Canis lupus familiaris: one gene and its partners. The protein of the gene in region 1 interacts with the protein of each later gene in a biochemical or structural test. Links are inferred from orthologs where the notes say so. Each region holds a gene or a part of one and is shown in the gene's direction. Other genes may lie near its edges. The genes, in order: PRKCA, MGMT, SLC9A3R2 and HMGA1.

Evidence for each region.
Region 2: of the proteins of PRKCA (region 1) and MGMT, one has a biochemical effect on the other in vitro, tested with the Homo sapiens proteins (2 studies listed by BioGRID). The link is inferred for Canis lupus familiaris from reciprocal best matches to the Homo sapiens genes PRKCA and MGMT.
Region 3: the proteins of PRKCA (region 1) and SLC9A3R2 form a complex in vitro, tested with the Homo sapiens proteins (2 studies listed by BioGRID and IntAct, with this or other methods). The link is inferred for Canis lupus familiaris from reciprocal best matches to the Homo sapiens genes PRKCA and NHERF2.
Region 4: of the proteins of PRKCA (region 1) and HMGA1, one has a biochemical effect on the other in vitro, tested with the Homo sapiens proteins (2 studies listed by BioGRID). The link is inferred for Canis lupus familiaris from reciprocal best matches to the Homo sapiens genes PRKCA and HMGA1.

The regions. Positions count from the first base shown.
Region 1 is NC_049230.1:13,279,783-13,283,827, forward strand, and holds part of PRKCA (protein kinase C alpha type), read left to right. Parts: intron 1-1,294; coding exon 1,295-1,459; 3' UTR 1,460-4,045. UniProt on the Homo sapiens protein: Calcium-activated, phospholipid- and diacylglycerol (DAG)-dependent serine/threonine-protein kinase that is involved in positive and negative regulation of cell proliferation, apoptosis, differentiation, migration and adhesion, tumorigenesis, cardiac hypertrophy, angiogenesis, platelet function and inflammation, by directly phosphorylating targets such as RAF1, BCL2, CSPG4, TNNT2/CTNT, or activating signaling cascade involving MAPK1/3 (ERK1/2) and RAP1GAP.
Region 2 is NC_049249.1:38,739,020-38,743,064, forward strand, and holds part of MGMT (methylated-DNA--protein-cysteine methyltransferase), read left to right. Parts: intron 1-2,738; coding exon 2,739-2,899; intron 2,900-4,045. UniProt on the Homo sapiens protein: Involved in the cellular defense against the biological effects of O6-methylguanine (O6-MeG) and O4-methylthymine (O4-MeT) in DNA. Repairs the methylated nucleobase in DNA by stoichiometrically transferring the methyl group to a cysteine residue in the enzyme.
Region 3 is NC_049227.1:39,349,971-39,354,015, reverse strand, and holds part of SLC9A3R2 (Na(+)/H(+) exchange regulatory cofactor NHE-RF2), read left to right. Parts: intron 1-1,591; coding exon 1,592-1,771; intron 1,772-2,870; coding exon 2,871-3,024; intron 3,025-3,097; coding exon 3,098-3,141; intron 3,142-3,592; coding exon 3,593-3,655; intron 3,656-3,868; coding exon 3,869-4,027; 3' UTR 4,028-4,045.
Region 4 is NC_049233.1:3,710,264-3,714,242, forward strand, and holds part of HMGA1 (high mobility group protein HMG-I/HMG-Y), read left to right. Parts: intron 1-1,255; 5' UTR 1,256-1,299; coding exon 1,300-1,434; intron 1,435-3,195; coding exon 3,196-3,279; intron 3,280-3,863; coding exon 3,864-3,914; intron 3,915-3,979. UniProt on the Homo sapiens protein: HMG-I/Y bind preferentially to the minor groove of A+T rich regions in double-stranded DNA. It is suggested that these proteins could function in nucleosome phasing and in the 3'-end processing of mRNA transcripts.

The DNA.
Region 1 (4,045 bases):
AAGTGGGAAAGTATGGTCTGTGAGACTAAACTGGCCTTACAAAAATAACAGCACCCCTTGTGCTCTCACCGCATGCTGGGGTCTGTGTGAAACACCACACCCTTAACCTCCATAGCCCAGGGAGAGGATGTGGCTCTCCTCCCCCCTTTACACTCGAGGGATTGGGGTGGACTCTCCACCCCCTACCCCACCCCTTCACAGAGCTGTCCTCTGTTAAAGATCCAGTATTGCCTGGTTAGTATAAAATTGTGCTAACTCAGAACTGGTCCATATCCCCTATGGTACCAGCAGGTGGAAGGGTGATCATTGGCAACATGTGGAATACCATGATTTGTATCACCAGTGTGACCCCAACATTTCCTGTCTCAGAGTCCTCTGGGGTCCAGGGGACTTCAGCATGCCACAACCCTCCTGAGCGGCTGAGAAAGTGAGGACACCCCTTTCCCCGATTTGGGGTCAGGCTCCCACGTGGTGCTGTGCATGCTGCCATGTTTCTCAGAGCTTCCAAAAAGGCAGCTCTGCCTGCAGCCCTGTCTTTATTGGGTGCCCTGGTGGACCCTGCAGGAGAAGACTATCCAAGACAGACAGGAGACTTTGCTATCCCTGTCCAGGGCACCAGAGCAAACCCCCTCCAGCCTGAGACCACCTGCGAGTGAGCCCCGTATCGACCTGCCAGTTGATCGGATAGATCTAGATAGGCTGAAGCCCAGCTGGGCCCCAGGGTGAATGTCCCAACCTTGCCACCACACCTACCTCAATATTGGTTGAAGATCATGAACTGAGGTTTTTAGCACTTTCCAGTTGCAAAAATAACACAGCTTTTACTGTACTACAAATATGGTTGTAGAGAACCACAAGTAGGACAGAAATCTCAACTTCTTGGTTCAGAGGTTGCTGTCTGCATTCCCACCCAACATCCTGGCCTTTCGACATGGGCTGTGACTGATGGCCCTGCGCGTGTGGCATCATGCTCGTAGCCCGCTTGCTTTGTGAAGTGAAAATGAAATAAAACAGGCTGTGTCCCCTTGCTGCTGCCTTACTATCAGCAGTGCCTTTCCATGGAGGGGTTCGGTTCCGAGGGTCATCGAAGGTTTGCAACGGAGTGACTTTGCGTTATTCTTTGCTGTGGCTGGCTTTTGAATCCAGTAGGTGTCCAGATTCAGAATTCTTCCTGCCTCTCCAGTCCCAATTCCCCCGGGCCACGCTCTTCCCTGCCGAGGACTCTTGAGAGAGCTGCCACCTGTGCTTTGCAATAATTTACTGACCTTTTCTTCTTTTTCTCTTTTCTCTGCAGTGTGGCAAAGGCGCAGAAAACTTTGACAAGTTCTTCACACGAGGGCAGCCTGTCTTAACACCACCTGATCAGTTGGTCATTGCTAACATAGACCAGTCTGATTTCGAGGGGTTCTCGTATGTCAACCCCCAATTTGTGCACCCCATCTTACAGAGTGCGGTATGAAACTCACCACGAAGAACCATCGTCTCCCCCGCCCCCAGCCCTCCAGCAGTGGGAAATGATCCTTAACCCTAAAATTTTAAGGCCATGGCCTTTTCTCTTGTTCTAGATGGGGGCCTGAAAATTTTAGGGTTTTTAGTCCAAATGTGAGCAACGGTTCAGGGTCTGTCTCTTACAACCAAGAACATTACCTTAGTGGAAGATGACATAATGTACAGTGTCCAGCTTAATTATGTAGAAGTCACATCTGGCTGTAGGTTGACCCTTCCTAGAAAGCAAACAAACTCTCCCCCTTTTTCGGTACGATTTGATGTATTTTCCTTGCCTTTCTGTCAATTTCCACCATGGAGGTCCCCCAACCAGAGATGTTAAAATGAACCTGTCCCAGTCCAGTGGGCTAGACACCCCTCCACCTGAGACGTCTTTGGAATGAAAGAACGGGGAGCCCAGAATGTGAACCAGGTGGGATTGGGAGTAGGGGAGGCTTTGAAATACCCACTGCTTCTGTTCTCTGCCTCAGTGGAAACGGTCCCTAGAATTTGAGAGGCCGAGATGAATCAAGTCCCCACCGGTGAGTCATTTGCAAGCTCACCGTTACCATACATCGACAGTCGTAACCCAGTCATAGTCCAGTGATTACTGGTCTTAGAGCAAACCTCAGATGAACGTTGGGTGAATCTGTCAGCTCCCCAGTTTGGTTGACGATTATCTTGATACTTGCATTTCTTTTTAAGAGGCCAAATCTTCTAAGGACTTTGCTAAATGAGCATGTGAAATCATTTCAGATCAAGGATAAACCAGTGTGTATGTATGTTCATTCTAATCTCTGGGAGATTATTCTGTGATCCAGGGTGCCATCAGCAATCATGCCACTACTCACGAGTGTTGTTAGCCAACCCCGACCCTCCAACCAATATTTTGCTACCTATGTCCTAAGAGGCTGAAGCGTACACCCCCTCCCCTTTTGTACTTATTTATTTACTAGGCTGCAATGTCGTTTACGAGAGTACGGTGTACAGTAACTTAGCAGAGTGTTGACTATAGCATAAGTCTCCATTGATCGATTTCCCTCCCATCTCCAGCCCTTGACATCCGCTAAGGGATGAAAACCAATACAGTTCAGGTCTCCATTTCCAGTTCATGTTGAATGACACACCTGGAGCTGTAGAATCAGGAAAGCCTGGATGCACATCAGCTTGAAGATGTTTTATTGCTAGAAGGATTTTAATATGTTTTTGCAGATGCATCATGCAATGAATTTTGCATGTTTATAATAAACCTTAATAACAAGTGAATCTATATTATTGATATAATCGTATCAAGTATAAAGAGAGTATTATAATAATTTTATAAGACACAATTGTGCTATATTTGTGAAGGCTCTTGTTTCTAATCTGCTTTTATGATTAAGTTTTAGCTTCATTCCTTGCTGCTGTGCTTCCTCTTCCCTCATTCCCACCCCAAGCAAACCCTGCACTGTATCAGATATATTAATTTTTTTATCGTAGATCTAATTTTGAAATGAATGGCTATTTTACATGATCAATTAGGCGCATATATATATATATATATACATAAAATATATATATATATATACCCACACACATACATATTTTCGATTCTACCTGCAAACAAATGTTTTGTTTTTGGGGATTATTTCTGAGATAACACTCCCTCCTAGCTCCTCAGCACCATCGTCCACTCCTTTACCACTCTTCCTCTTGGGGACATCAGGAAGTGTTTGACTCCAGTATGCCTAGTATGTTTGTGTAGGTGTGATGTTGTCACAGCCCCTGGGCTGGACTTTGGTTTTTCCTTTTCAGCCTTGTTACTGTTAGTGACTTGGGGTGGGAGGGACAGGAAGACGCCCATCCTGCTATGTATGCGTGGACACACCAGAAGCACACCGTCCGTCTTGCTGCCCCCAGAACGACTCGCCGTTTGCTCCAGCACATACAGACTTCATGAGACAAACCGTCCAGTCTGGCAGCTCCCCCGCCCCATCCCGACACAGCCATCCCCTGGCTCTATCCGCAGACTCGTTAGAAGCTACAGATTTTCTTCCACCTGTTGCTGGAACCAGCCTTTCCAGTCTCATGAGGAGTACATCTGTGGTGAGACACTGTGAGACACTAACGCAAGGTCCTCGGAGAAGCCAGCCTCCTACAGCAGAAAGCACATCCGACGTGGAAGTGATTATCCGTTCTTACAGGGGCTGCTCTAAGTCCCCTCATTCTCCAAATGCGTCTCCCAGCTAAGCACCGCCTCATTTTTTACTCTCTGTTTGCCTGAAATTCATGTAACACAACCACAGAAGGGTCTTTGAGACTGAGAGACCTGGTCTGTCCTGGGGACTCTTGACTGGAGGAAGAGATGGGGTAGGCAGTGGGTCAGCCCCAAAAAGAGCAACTTCCTCCGCCATCTCTTAGGGGCTGTGGACATCAGAATGCAGAAAGGGCCCTGGCACACCCAATGCTGCAGTCCTGCGGGGCAGCACACTTTGGGGACCCTTCCTTTGCCAGGGACATCTCATTCGGTTGAGTAGAAAAGGGACCAGTTTATAGAATGAGCCTAGGAAACAAAACAACA
Region 2 (4,045 bases), on another chromosome or scaffold:
TTGGACAGTCCCGGGGGGGAAACATGGGCACCCAGGCGGTCCCTGCCCCTCTCCTGCCTCCTCAAAAGGGAAGGCCCCCATGGGCTGAGAGCGGGGACATGGGCACCTCAGCTGGGTCCACCTCCCGTTTGGGCAGGTGTCACACAGATTGCTGCCTGCTGGTGGCCCAGGCCTTCGCGGCCACGCTGTCCCCCCCAGGGGGCGTTGGCCTTGCTTCCTGGCAGCAGCCCCAGGCTCTCCGTAGCGCACCCCTGCTCTCCCTCCACCCCCGGGGGGGACGGCCGGGCACCTGACGCTGCTCCCCACCCTTGTTTGCAGTATTGTCAGCGCGTGTTGATTTGTGCGGGAGGAACAGTGTGCGGACAGAGGGACTGGACTTGCTCGAGTTGAATAACGTTTGAGGGGCGCCTGGGTGGCTCAGCAGTTGAGCATCTGCCTTTGGCCCAGGGTGTGATCCCGGGTCCTGGGATCGAGTTCTCCCTCAGGCTCCCCGCAGGGAGCCTGCTTCTCCCTCTGCCCATGTCTCTGCCTCTCTCTCTCTGCCTCTCTCTGTGTGTCTCATGAATAAATAAAATCTTAGGAAAAAAATATGAAGGATGTTTGAGCCGGGCATGGGAAGTTTGACCCCTTCCCCGACCAGATGTCCTGATGGAGAGAGACCAGGGCAGGAAGGAGGTGCCGTGTCCACGTCCAGGAGCATCTTTGCGAGGCCCTTGAGCTGCTCCGCTGGCTCCGAGGTGCCCCTCTATTGCTCTGGGGTCCAGGCCGGCCACGGGCCCGTCCACAGGAGTTCCCACCCACGGAGATCTCGGGAAGGTGGTGGCTCCGGGGCCTGCTCTGTCCATCGGGGGTCGGCAGGATGGCTGGACCGTGGCCAGCACCTCGGGGCATGCGTCTGTCGTCCCTCTGCCTGTTTGCGTCCGTGGGCTCAGTTCTTTCTTCCTTCTGTCTGGTCCCTCGTTACCACTGTCCATGTGCAAGTGCTTAGAGAGCCTTCCCTGATCCACTGTTCTACTGTGGAAAAACAGCATAAAGGGTGTTTCTGTGCATCCCAAACAAGGAAGCTTATTTCTGCAAAGATCCAAGGCCATCAGTGGAGACTCTCATTTCCATGGAATGCCAGGCATGAAAGACTTGGACTCCAGCATAGGATCGTGTGCAGGACCTGCTTAGAGGTCGTCAGGGGTTCTCTGCAGCTCTAGCGTGAAGCATACCTGCTTCCAGACGTGCAGCGGCCTGTGCGTGCCGATGGCCTTCTCACACAGGCGGCGTCAGGCTGCGCGCTCAGGGACTTGAGTCTCACTGTCGTCCCTGCATTGGGCCACATGGCCCAGTGAGTGGTGACCCTCGTAAGGCTGCTGCGTACAAGGTGAAAAAGGCAGGCTGTGGACTGACGCCCGTGCACGCATCCTCAGCACACAGGGTGAGCCTGCACCTCCCCTGCCCCCAAAGCTTCAGTAGCCGAGGATAAAGAGACAGGCTGTGCCTTCCAGGCCGGGAGCCACTAGGAAACCTGCTGCCTGTCCAGGGCCTTGGAGGGTAAGGAAGGAAAGTCAGCTGAAGAAATCAGACGTGGTGCCGGTGCTTTGGTGGGTGTGGGGTCCTGGGAAAGTGAAATGAAAACTGGATCCAGGGATCCCTGGGTGGCGCAGCGGTTTGGTGCCTGCCTTTGGCCCAGGGCGCAATCCTGGAGACCCAGGATCGAATCCCACATCAGGCTCCCGGTGCATGGAGCCTGCTTCTCCCTCTGCCTATGTCTCTGCCTCTCTCTCTCTCTCTGTGACTATCATAAATAAATAAAAATTAAAAAAAAAAATTTAAATTTAAAAAAAAAAAAAAAAAAAAAAAAAAAGAAAACTGGATCCATCGTGAAAGTGTAGGGCTCCGAAGCAGCAAGAGTAAAGCCTCTCCGTGGGGATCTCCCCAGAGACCTGGCACCTGCCAAAAGTAAGTCAGCTCTGTGAGAGGCAGCTACTGGGTCCCTTGGACAGAGGAATTAGACCCCGAGGGCAAGGAGCAAACTGAACGGAGTCTCAGGTATGTTGGTTTGAGTTTAAGGAGATAAAAGGAAGAAAGTGACCGTAGTGATTGAACAAGGGAACTCGGAAAAAAAAAAAAAAAAAAAAAAAGAAGCCAGAGCACAGTGACTGATGTGAGCCTCGCAGGACGACGGGCACACGGATTAGACACTGCAGCGTGAGACTCTGTAGGCTGGAAGCAGACCCCAAGGAAATCCCCCAGAACGCAGCTCAGAGCGGTGGAAAATCCTGAATGTGCTGTTGTGTTGAAATTCAGTAGGATTGGGGAGGGGGTTGATGAAAATGCAGGTGAATTACTTTGGTAATATTTCTTAAGTACTTTTGATAACACATGGCGATTTTACAGATGAGCGACGGAGACCCACGTGCGCCTGAGTCTTAGGAAGGGGCAGCCACATGCCCACTGGGGCCACTTCTGTGCTTATCATCCTGGCTCTGTCCCATCCTGCCAAATACAGGAGCCTGTGTACTAGGCTGTTCCTTCCTGGAATCACCTCTTGGTTGTGTTTCTTAAAGCTAAAGGTGGAAACGTGGCTGGGAGGCACCCCACGCCCTCCCACAGGCACCTGCCCACTGCTGCGCCGCACAGCGGGCACACATCCCGGGGAGACTGCTATGGACTTACACGTTTCTGTTTGCTTTTCACACGTGTGGACGCAGGGCCGGAGGTTTATTATGCGCCTGTTATCACTTTTGCAGACCCGCAGAGGCCCCCGCTCCTCCCGAGCTGCTCGGCTGTCCAGAGGAAATGACGGAGCCACTGGTGCAGTGCGTGGCCTGGCTGGATGCCTATTTCCGTGAGCCCTCGGTCCTCCCGGGCCTCCCCTTGCCCGCGATTCACCATCCCATTTTCCAGCGAGGTCAGTAACTCCGCCGCCTCTTAGGGTTTTGCTCAGGGAGCTTGACTGATGAACTATCACTTACATCGCAGCCCATTTTATCGACTACACTGACTTGGTATTTTTACATCATCTAAACAGAGACAGCATGTGGCCACACTATAAGGACAAGAGTTCACGATCTCCACCCATTCCAAATGCTTGTGTTAGTTTTGGCACATGGTCACATAATTCTTGGCAAAGGCAGTAAAAATGATGCATGCAGATCGACTCTTGACTCTTGTTGGCTGAAAGGTTTAAATGGGAACACATCTGAATAGCAGGGAATTTTTCAATAAGCTTATTGTTAACTTAAACTATCTGCTTGCCAACAGCACAGAAAATGAGGCTTGTACATGGACAATTAGCCACTTCCATAAACTCGGCTGGTGACATTTACATCAGAGTGGGTAGCGGCGTTGTGTTGTCGCGGATAAGTTCTCAGTCTCATTTCTCAAGCTTGCCGTAGTTGGATACCGTGTTCTTAAAGCACGAATTGAGAACTCATTGCCTAATGTAGCCGGCTAAAGGCACATGGTCTGTGGTCGCCGAAAAACATTTTCCCAGACGCTTCCTTTTAAGTTGTTTGTGCCTTAATTATGTCAACTAAAATTACTCTAGACACACAGCAGAGGTTTCTTTGGCATAGTAGTGATTTTTTTTTTTTTACTCATTTTAATATAGATGCGTGTGTGTGTACACGTAAATATGTAGATGTGTGCACACGTATACTCAAGGGAAAAAAATTTTAGGTTTTAGGTAAGGCAAATTTAGGGGATCCTGGGTGGCTCAGTCGGTTGAGCATCAGACTCTTGGTTTGGGCTCAGGTCGTGACCTTGGGGTGGCGAGATCGAGCCCCACGTTGGGCTCTGTGCTCAGCAGGGCATCTGCTTGAGATTCTCTCTCCCTCTGCCCCTCCCCCTAAAATAAGTATATCTTTAAAGTAAACTTAAAGCAATCTTGAGTTTCAAAACTGAGCATCCTAAATATGTTTAATGGCATTCTAATAGCTGCCATGATTTTTAGCGAAAAGGAACTTAAAAGTAGAGTAGAATTTTCAGGGGCAGTGACTAGAGAAGCTCCTGGAAAGCTGAGCTCACACCTGAGTTGATTAACAAGGTCAAACAA
Region 3 (4,045 bases), on another chromosome or scaffold:
TTGTGGAGGGCGTGAGAAGAGTCTGGACAGCTCAGCGCCAGGGTGCTGTCCTCTCCAACGCGTGTGTCTCCGCGTGTTGCCGTGTAGCGTGTTTGTGAGCATACGTTTGGAGTCTTGTGTCTGTGCCCACGCACCTCTGCCAACCGGGGCTTGTCTGCCGATCCCTGCTCTGGCAGCCTGTATCCGAGAGGCACATCAGGGCGGGGAGTGGGCCCCCAAGCCTGGGCCCCCAGGAGTGTCAGGGAGAGGGGATGAGTCTCTATGGGGTGGGGGGAGAACTTTGGGGGTCTCACACCCATCCGTTCAGCCCATGTTGCCGAACCCCTGGGACACTGAGGGGCAGGAGCCCTGTCCCCTGAGTTCCTGGGCTTACGGGGCTGGGTGGGGGCCTGTGGCAGGGATCCCAAGGGCGTGTCTGCGTGGCTTCGGGGGTCAGGGAAGGGACCCCAGAGGAGGGGCATTCTGGACAGTGGGAGGCCCTGCAAGAAAAGATGTGCTTGGGTCCCCGGCCCGGCCGGCTAGCAGGCCAGGGCCCTCGTGGTCAGATTGGGGGTGTGGACGGAGCTTGGGGGGGCGGCTGGGAGCGGCCAGGGGGTGGCCCGAGCTGAGGAGCTGAGGGGCAGGTGCTGGAGACTTTCCCTGAGGGCGAGGGCGAGGGCGAGGGCGAGGTGGACCGGGGGAGGGAGGGCTTCAGGAGCACCCCCACGCCGCACACGCTCACCTGCACGCGCCCCCACATCCCCAGCAGCCCGGGCAATCCGAGCCGCCGCCGCCCGCCTCCAGCCACCGCCCCGTGTAACTGAGCACCCGCTCCGCGGCTGCTGGGCGCTCTGCTCACTACCCGGGCTGCGGCTGGGAGGGGGCCCGGGGCCTGGCCCCTGCCCGCCGGCCCCTGCCCCAGAGCCCTGCTGCAGGATGCTGGAGGTAAAGTGAGGCGAGGCCCTGGCCTGTGGATGGGGGGACGCTCGGGGCGTCGGGGACCTCTGTGCTCTGGCAGGGAGGGTGGAGGCAGGGCATACCCGTGGCCTCCTCGCTGGGCTCCGGCCCGGCTCCAGCCTGTGCACCCCGCCGCTGGGCCCTGTGCGGGTGGGGGTGGCTCCAGCTTGCTCTGGAATGTGAAAGCAAACACAGCCTGCTGCCACCAGCCCTATGGAGGCCACTGGGAGAAAAAACAAACGTCAGCCTCACACTCGGAGGAGGGAGGTGGCGAGGGGTGCCCCCGCAGGGCCAGCGGGCCCAGGACGCCTGGCTGCCCCTAGGACCCCGGCCTGTGCTCAGCGCTGCCCTTGAGCGGATCCTGTCAGCACCCCTGTCAAGCCCCTAGTCCCACCTCAAGTTGGTTTTGGGTTTGGAGAGTGAGGCTTTGCTCCAGAACCTGCAGCTGGAGCTTGGGCACAGGCGGCCTAAGGGGGTCCACCCAGGCACGGGTACAGCGTTTGTCCTGTGAGCTGGGGCTGCCTGGCGGGGGAATGTAGAGCCTGGAATTAGGGTTCCCTCCAGCTTGCGTCCACTGCAGCTGCAGATGGGGGGCGGGGTGGGGGAGGCTTGGGGGCTGGAGATCAGTGCTGAGCCTGGTCTCATGCGCCTGCAGGATGTCGGTGGGCCCCCCAGGGAGCTACGCCCTCGGCTCTGCCACCTGAGAAAGGGCCCCCAAGGTTACGGGTTCAACCTGCACAGTGACAAGTCCCGGCCGGGACAGTACATCCGCTCCGTGGACCCAGGCTCGCCTGCCGCTCACTCTGGCCTCCGCGCCCAGGACAGACTCATCGAGGTACCTGTTGTGGAGGCTTTGGGGTGCTGGGGGCCCCATGAGAGGTGTGTGTGTCTGGGCCCGTGTCCCTCCATGTGTGTGTCTGGCTCGTGTGCCCATGGGGTGTGTGTCTGGGTCTGTGTCCCTCCATGTGTGTATCTGGCTTGTGTGCCCCTGGGGTGTGTGTCTGGCCTTTGTGCCCTGAGGTGTGTGTCTGGACCCGTGTCGCCCCGGGTGTGTGTCTGGGCCATGTCCCTCCATGTGTGTGTCTGGCTTGTGTGCCCCCAGGGTGTGTGTCTGGCCCATGTGCCCTGGGGTGTGTGTCTGGCCCGTGTGCCCCTGAGTGTGTGTGTCTGGCCCGTGTGCCCCTGAGTGTGTCTGGTCCGTGTGCCCCGGGTGTGTGTCTGGGTCTGTGTCCCTCCATGTGTGTGTCTGGGCCCGTGTCCCTCCATGTGTGTGTCTGGCTCGTGTGCCCCAGGTGTGTGTCTGGGCCCGTGTCCCTCCATGTGTGTATCTGGCTTGTGTGCCCCTGGGGTGTGTGTCTGGCCCGTGTGCCCCGGGTGTGTGTCTGGCCCGTGTGCCCCAGGTGTGTGTCTGGGCCCGTGTCCCTCCATGTGTGTGTCTGGCTCGTGTGCCCCCGGGTGTGTCTGGTTCGTGTGCCCCAGGTGTGTGTCTGGGCCTGTGTCCCTCCATGTGTGTGTCTGGCCCGTGTGCCCCTGGGGTGTGTGTCTGGCCCGTGTCGCTCCATGTGTGTGTCTGGCCTATGTGCCCTGGGGTGTGTGTCTGGGCTCGTGTGCCCCCGGGTGTGTGTCTGGGCCCGTGTCCCTCCATGTGTGTGTCTGGCCCGTGTGCCCCTGGGGTGTGTTTCTGGGCTCGTGTGCCCCGATGTGTGTCTGGCCCGTGTCCCTCCATGTGTGTGTCTGGCTTGTGTGCCCCGGGTGTGTCTGGGCAGCAAGGTCCTTGCTGGGGAGAGATGCTGGGAACTTGAGCTGGCATTCCTCTTCCTGCCACGGCTGGTGACAACATTGATGAATATTTGATGCCACGCCTGGCTGGGTGGCTCGAGGGGCCTGCGGGGGCCTGACCTCGGGCCAGGTTGACCTCACGCTGCTGCTGGCAGGTGAATGGGCAGAATGTGGAGGGGCTGCGCCACGCAGAGGTGGTCGCCAGCATCAAGGCGCAGGAGGACGAGGCCCGGCTGCTGGTGGTGGACCCCGAAACGGATGAGCACTTCAAGCGGCTACGGGTCACACCTACTGAGGAGCACGTGGAAGGTGGGCTGCTGCCTGGGGCTGGGGACGGGGTGGCATGGGGGGTTGGCCAGCCACCGACACGCTGTCCCCACAGGTCCACTGCTATCACCAGTCACCAATGGGACCAGCCCTGCCCAGGTGAGAGGGTGGGAATGGACAGGGTGGACTCAGGAGCCTGTTGGGGCCCCTCTAGGGATCCCCAGACCTGCCCGTGCCCCCACCTCAAGATCTCCCTGTGTGGGTGTGATAGCGAGACCCAATCCTGCCAGCCACTCCGGGTCCTGCCTGGGTCAGCCCCGCCCCCGCCCCACGAGGCTGCTGGCGGGTGAGCTGCAGTCATGCTGCGTCACTCCTCGGGAGGCGGTCCCGGCTTCACCCCAAGTGATGCTCATGGGGGTGATTCCGTAGTGAGCAGGCGGGGGGCAGGCTCCCCGCCCTTGGCAGCACCCGCGGCTCCTGCCCAGGCTCGGTGCCTACTGCCAGACAGAAGAATGAATGCGGCTCTGATGTGTGTGCACGAGCGTCTGCGTGGGCACTGGCGGCTCCCGGGCACGGGCCCTGCAGCCACACCGTGTCCTTGCTTTCCTAGCTGAACGGTGGCTCAGCGTGTTCGTCCCGAAGTGATCTGCCTGGCTTAGACAAGGACACTGAGGTAGCGAGTGCCCGCCCGCCTCACTGCAGTGCCCACACATGGGGGAGGGTGGAAAGAGGCCGGGGTGGGTGTTGGTGTGGCTGGCAGCCTGGGCAGTGGGGTCACCGCCTCCAGGAAGCCCCGGGCCTGCTGCCCCAGCCCCACCAGCCGGCCTCTGCGGAGAGCTGCCTCCCAGGCTCACACTGGCCGCCTGCCCACTCTGCCTGCCCCCAGGACAGCAACACCTGGAAGCGTGACCCCTTTCAGGAGAGCGGCCTCCACCTGAGCCCCACGGCGGCCGAAGCCAAGGAGAAGGCGAGAGCCACCCGGGTCAACAAGCGGGCGCCACAGATGGACTGGAACCGGAAGCGCGAGATCTTCAGCAACTTCTGAGCCCCTCCCTGCCTGTTT
Region 4 (3,979 bases), on another chromosome or scaffold:
GACCCTCACTGTGTTTTAAGCCTCTGGAAGAGCCACCCTAATCCGGGGTGCAGGTGCTCCTTGCAGTGGGAGGTTTTATGTAAACTCAAAATTAGTGGGGCTGATTAAACCCAAAACGGCCTCTAAGAAGAGGGAAAATGCTAGAAAAGAAGCTTTGAGGACCAGCTCTGCCAGGGCTGGGGGGGTGGGAGGGAGGGAGGGCAGCCAGCATCTGCTAGAAGGATCCATCTCAGTGGAGAAATTCTGCCCCTCCTGAAAGCAGGCATCAAAGGGGAAGATTTTATTTGACTCCAGGTGGGTGGGGTGGGGATAAGGGGAAAGGGCTTTGGGTTTTCCTCCCCTACTACAATTTTGGCCATCTTCCCCCTTCCCAAACTGTTCCCAGCCTTGAATCCCCAAGGCTCTTGCCCAGGGAGAGCAGAGAGGAGACCTAAGTGGTGGGGTGGGCACCACCCCTGGCCAGGTGATTGATGTGGAGTGTCGCAGTTGGTCCTGAGGCTTGGGCCGTGGCAGATAGGCAACTCTCTTGGCCAGGTGGGGGGGTACTGATGGCCCTGGCTGTCTGGGGCTGATTGATTCTGCTTCCCTTTCCTCCCCTGTTGACTGTGAGCCATTCAGGCTTGCTTTTCTCTAAGAGAAAGGGCAGCTGGCTAGACAGAGGGACCTTGGGCAGTGTGAGGACCCCCCAACCTACACCTCCGTCTAGGTGGCCTCACCTGCAGAAATACATCTGAGCTTGGCTGTGCCTCTTGAGCCTGGGCCCCGTGGGGGTGGCAGGACAACAAAGCACCCTTCTGAGCAGGAGATAAGGAGCTGATTAGGGCCAACGGCCCAGCCCCACCCTGTAGCAGCCTGCCCGGGCTGGGTAGACACCCCCCACAACTCCCCATCCTTTTTTTTTTTTTTTTTAAGGCTTTTTTTTTTTTTTTTTTAAGATTTTATTTATTTATTCATGAGAGACCCACACAGCGAGAGACAGGGACCACAGGCAGAGGGAGAAGCAGGCTCCATGCAGGGAGCCCGATGCAGGACCTGATCCCAGGACTCCAGGATCACACCCTGGGCTGAAGGTGGCGCTAAACCACTGAGCCACCCAGGGATTCCCCCTCATCCCATCCTCAGGATGTCAGGAATCCTGGGTAGCCCTAGGAGTAGGCAGGGTCCTACAGTGCATTTGGAGGGTGGAAGTGGTGAAGGAGATAGGAGGTGGCTGAAGCAAGATGTCGTGTTTAAAACAACTTCTCCTGCTCCCTAGCATCCCAGCCGTCGCTCCTCCACCTGCTCCAGAGAGAAGGGAAGATGAGCGAGTCGAGCTCGAAGTCCAGCCAGCCTTTGGCCTCCAAGCAGGAAAAGGACGGCACTGAGAAGCGAGGGCGGGGCCGGCCGCGCAAGCAGCCTCCGGTGAGTCCCGGGACGGCGCTGGTAGGGAGTCAGGTGGGTGTCCAAACCTTTGCTCGGTTTACCCCCTTTGGGTTAGGGAGGTGCCACGTGTCTGAGCAAGTGACAGCTGGAGTAGAGGGCTGCAGAATCCATGCTGCATGTCGGTGTGCGCTCACTCCAAACATGCACCCCACACATGCCAACCCTGGTCAGCTCCTGAGACCCCAGGAGAGAAGTGGGGGCTGAGAAATTTTTTTTTTTTTGGGGGGGGGGGCTGAGAAATTTGAGTGACCCCTGAGCCCATGCCAGATAATCCAAGCCAGAAGTGACCTCATGCTCACATCCTGGTAAACTACCCACCCTTTATGTCCAGGCTGTTGTGGATAGACCAGCATGTTTACAAAAACACAGTAAAGAGGAGTTTACATATATGTCTAAGTCCTGTGTTTCTAATCCTTAGGCTCACGGCACATACTTGTCTGTCCATTAGCCATAAAAGTTACTAAATACTTAACTGTCAACTCCGTACTTCCTTATCCCAGACCTATAACAAAGCTTGTGGGCTGCACCTGTCCACAGGCCTGGCTTCAAGCGGCCCTGGGCCCAGGCACCACTCTGGCTCCGTAAAAGGAAACGGAAGCCCAAGAACAGAAAATGTGGGGAAGTTGTCATAGGAGTGGGACTCTGGGAACCCTGGTGCTGGCCACCACTGAGGTTCCACAGGGTTAGAAGGCCAGCCTGGCCCCTTGGGGCACCCTAGGGAGCATGGCCTGTGAGGCTGTCGGGGGAGCACCTGTCACTTGGTGGAGATCTTGGATTCTCTCGGAGGGGCTGCAGGGGTGAGGGCCAGAGGCCAGGGGTCCAGGTCAACCCTTGCTCTTTGCTCCGTGGGCCTCAGGCTTCTCCTACCTGTAGGATGGAGAGCACGGGAGGTACTGACTGCGGGGAGACATGAGCCCTGAGAAGTCAGAGTGGTGGGCTTCAGCTGCCCCTGGCACAGCCCACAGTGTGGAGGGAGTTGGTCTTTTTGTCTCATTCCCTCGGCCTCCACCTCTTGCTAGGTAGCTGGGGTCTGCAGCCGGGTGTCTGGGTGGTGGTGGGGGGTGTTTTGGGTTACTGGACTATAGTTCCAAACAGCCTGTGGGCAGCTACCCCGAAACCGTAGCTGACCTGCCTTTACTGTCCAGCTTCTGTGCATTATGCAGCAGCTTTTTATTCCGTCAGGCTTAGTCAGGCTTAGTAAATTTCACCGGCGACTACGGCAGGGATCTCTTGGTTTCTGACATCCGGGCCTGATTTCCCTCCCTGGGACAAAGCCTGGAGGGAGTTTGGTTTGCAGGTAGTGGTTGGAGGCTCCCTCTGGTTGGGGGGTGTTTATCCTCTTCTGCATTCCCCCAGGGGCTGGGGCGTGGTATTGGCCCAGTGGGGGACACTTCTGCACCCTTCCTTGAGGCTCTGATGCTCTGTGAGGGAAGTCTTCTCACCATTTGCAGTTGAGGAGACTGAGTCCCAAGCATTCTGGGTCTTGCCTGAGAGCTTAGGGCCCATTGGTGGCAGAGCTGCCGGATGGGTTTTTCTGCCCTATGACCCCTTTCCCTTTTCTGGTTTCTTGTCATTTTGTTGTCACAGGGAAGCACGGGAGGGGCTTTGCAAAATAGAGCGAGAACTTGGGTCTGGAGGGCTTGCCTGCTGTGGTGCCTGTGGATTTCTGGGTCAGGGTGATGGCTGGCTGACTTGGGGTGGAGGGGAGAGCTGTGTCTCGAAAGGGGTGGGGCAGATGGCATCTGTGTCCGATTATCCCACCTGCCTTTGCAGAAGGAACCCAGTGAAGTGCCAACACCTAAGAGACCTCGGGGCCGACCAAAGGGGAGCAAAAACAAGGGTGCTGCCAAGACCCGGGTAAGGATGAAGGAGGCACGGGTGGCAGTGGGTCTTGGCAAACTGGGGACAGCAGGGCAATGACTGACTCCTCACTGGTGGGCACTCAGGCCTGCACAGGACGATGGGGAAATCCAGTTAGAAGCCCCATAGCTCTCCTTGTCTGGAGAAAGGTGAATGGGGAAGAGTGAAGGGGTAGTTCCATCACTCCCTAGGCTGACCATGTTCCGTTCCATTCCGGGGTCCCCTGAATCCCCAGAGAAATGGGGCCAAGCAGGGTAGGCCAGATTTACAGTGGCATCAGTCTCTCAGAGAAGTTGTTTTGTTTTTTATTTTATTTTTTCTGAGACACGACTCATATCCTCTGAGTCATGGGTGGAGGAGGGAGTGGGGGGCGTGTGTGTATATTGGGGGGGGGGTGCAGTGTGGCTAGCCAGTCATCACCAGCTGGCTTCGGGTGGGCCCGCAGGCTGAGGGAGTCCCAGGCTGCCCTGAGCAGAGGTAGGTGGTTCGGTCCCTCCCCATCCTGGTGGGGCACTGGGCATCCGGTGAGCAGTGGTAGGGATGTTTTTCAACTTAGTGGATCTTTTTCTCTGACCATCTAGAAAACTACCACAACTCCAGGGAGGAAACCGAGGGGCAGACCCAAAAAACTGGTAGGTGAAGGGATGGCGGCGGTTTCTTACTTCCTGGGAGGGTGTTTAAGAATGGGTGACAGATT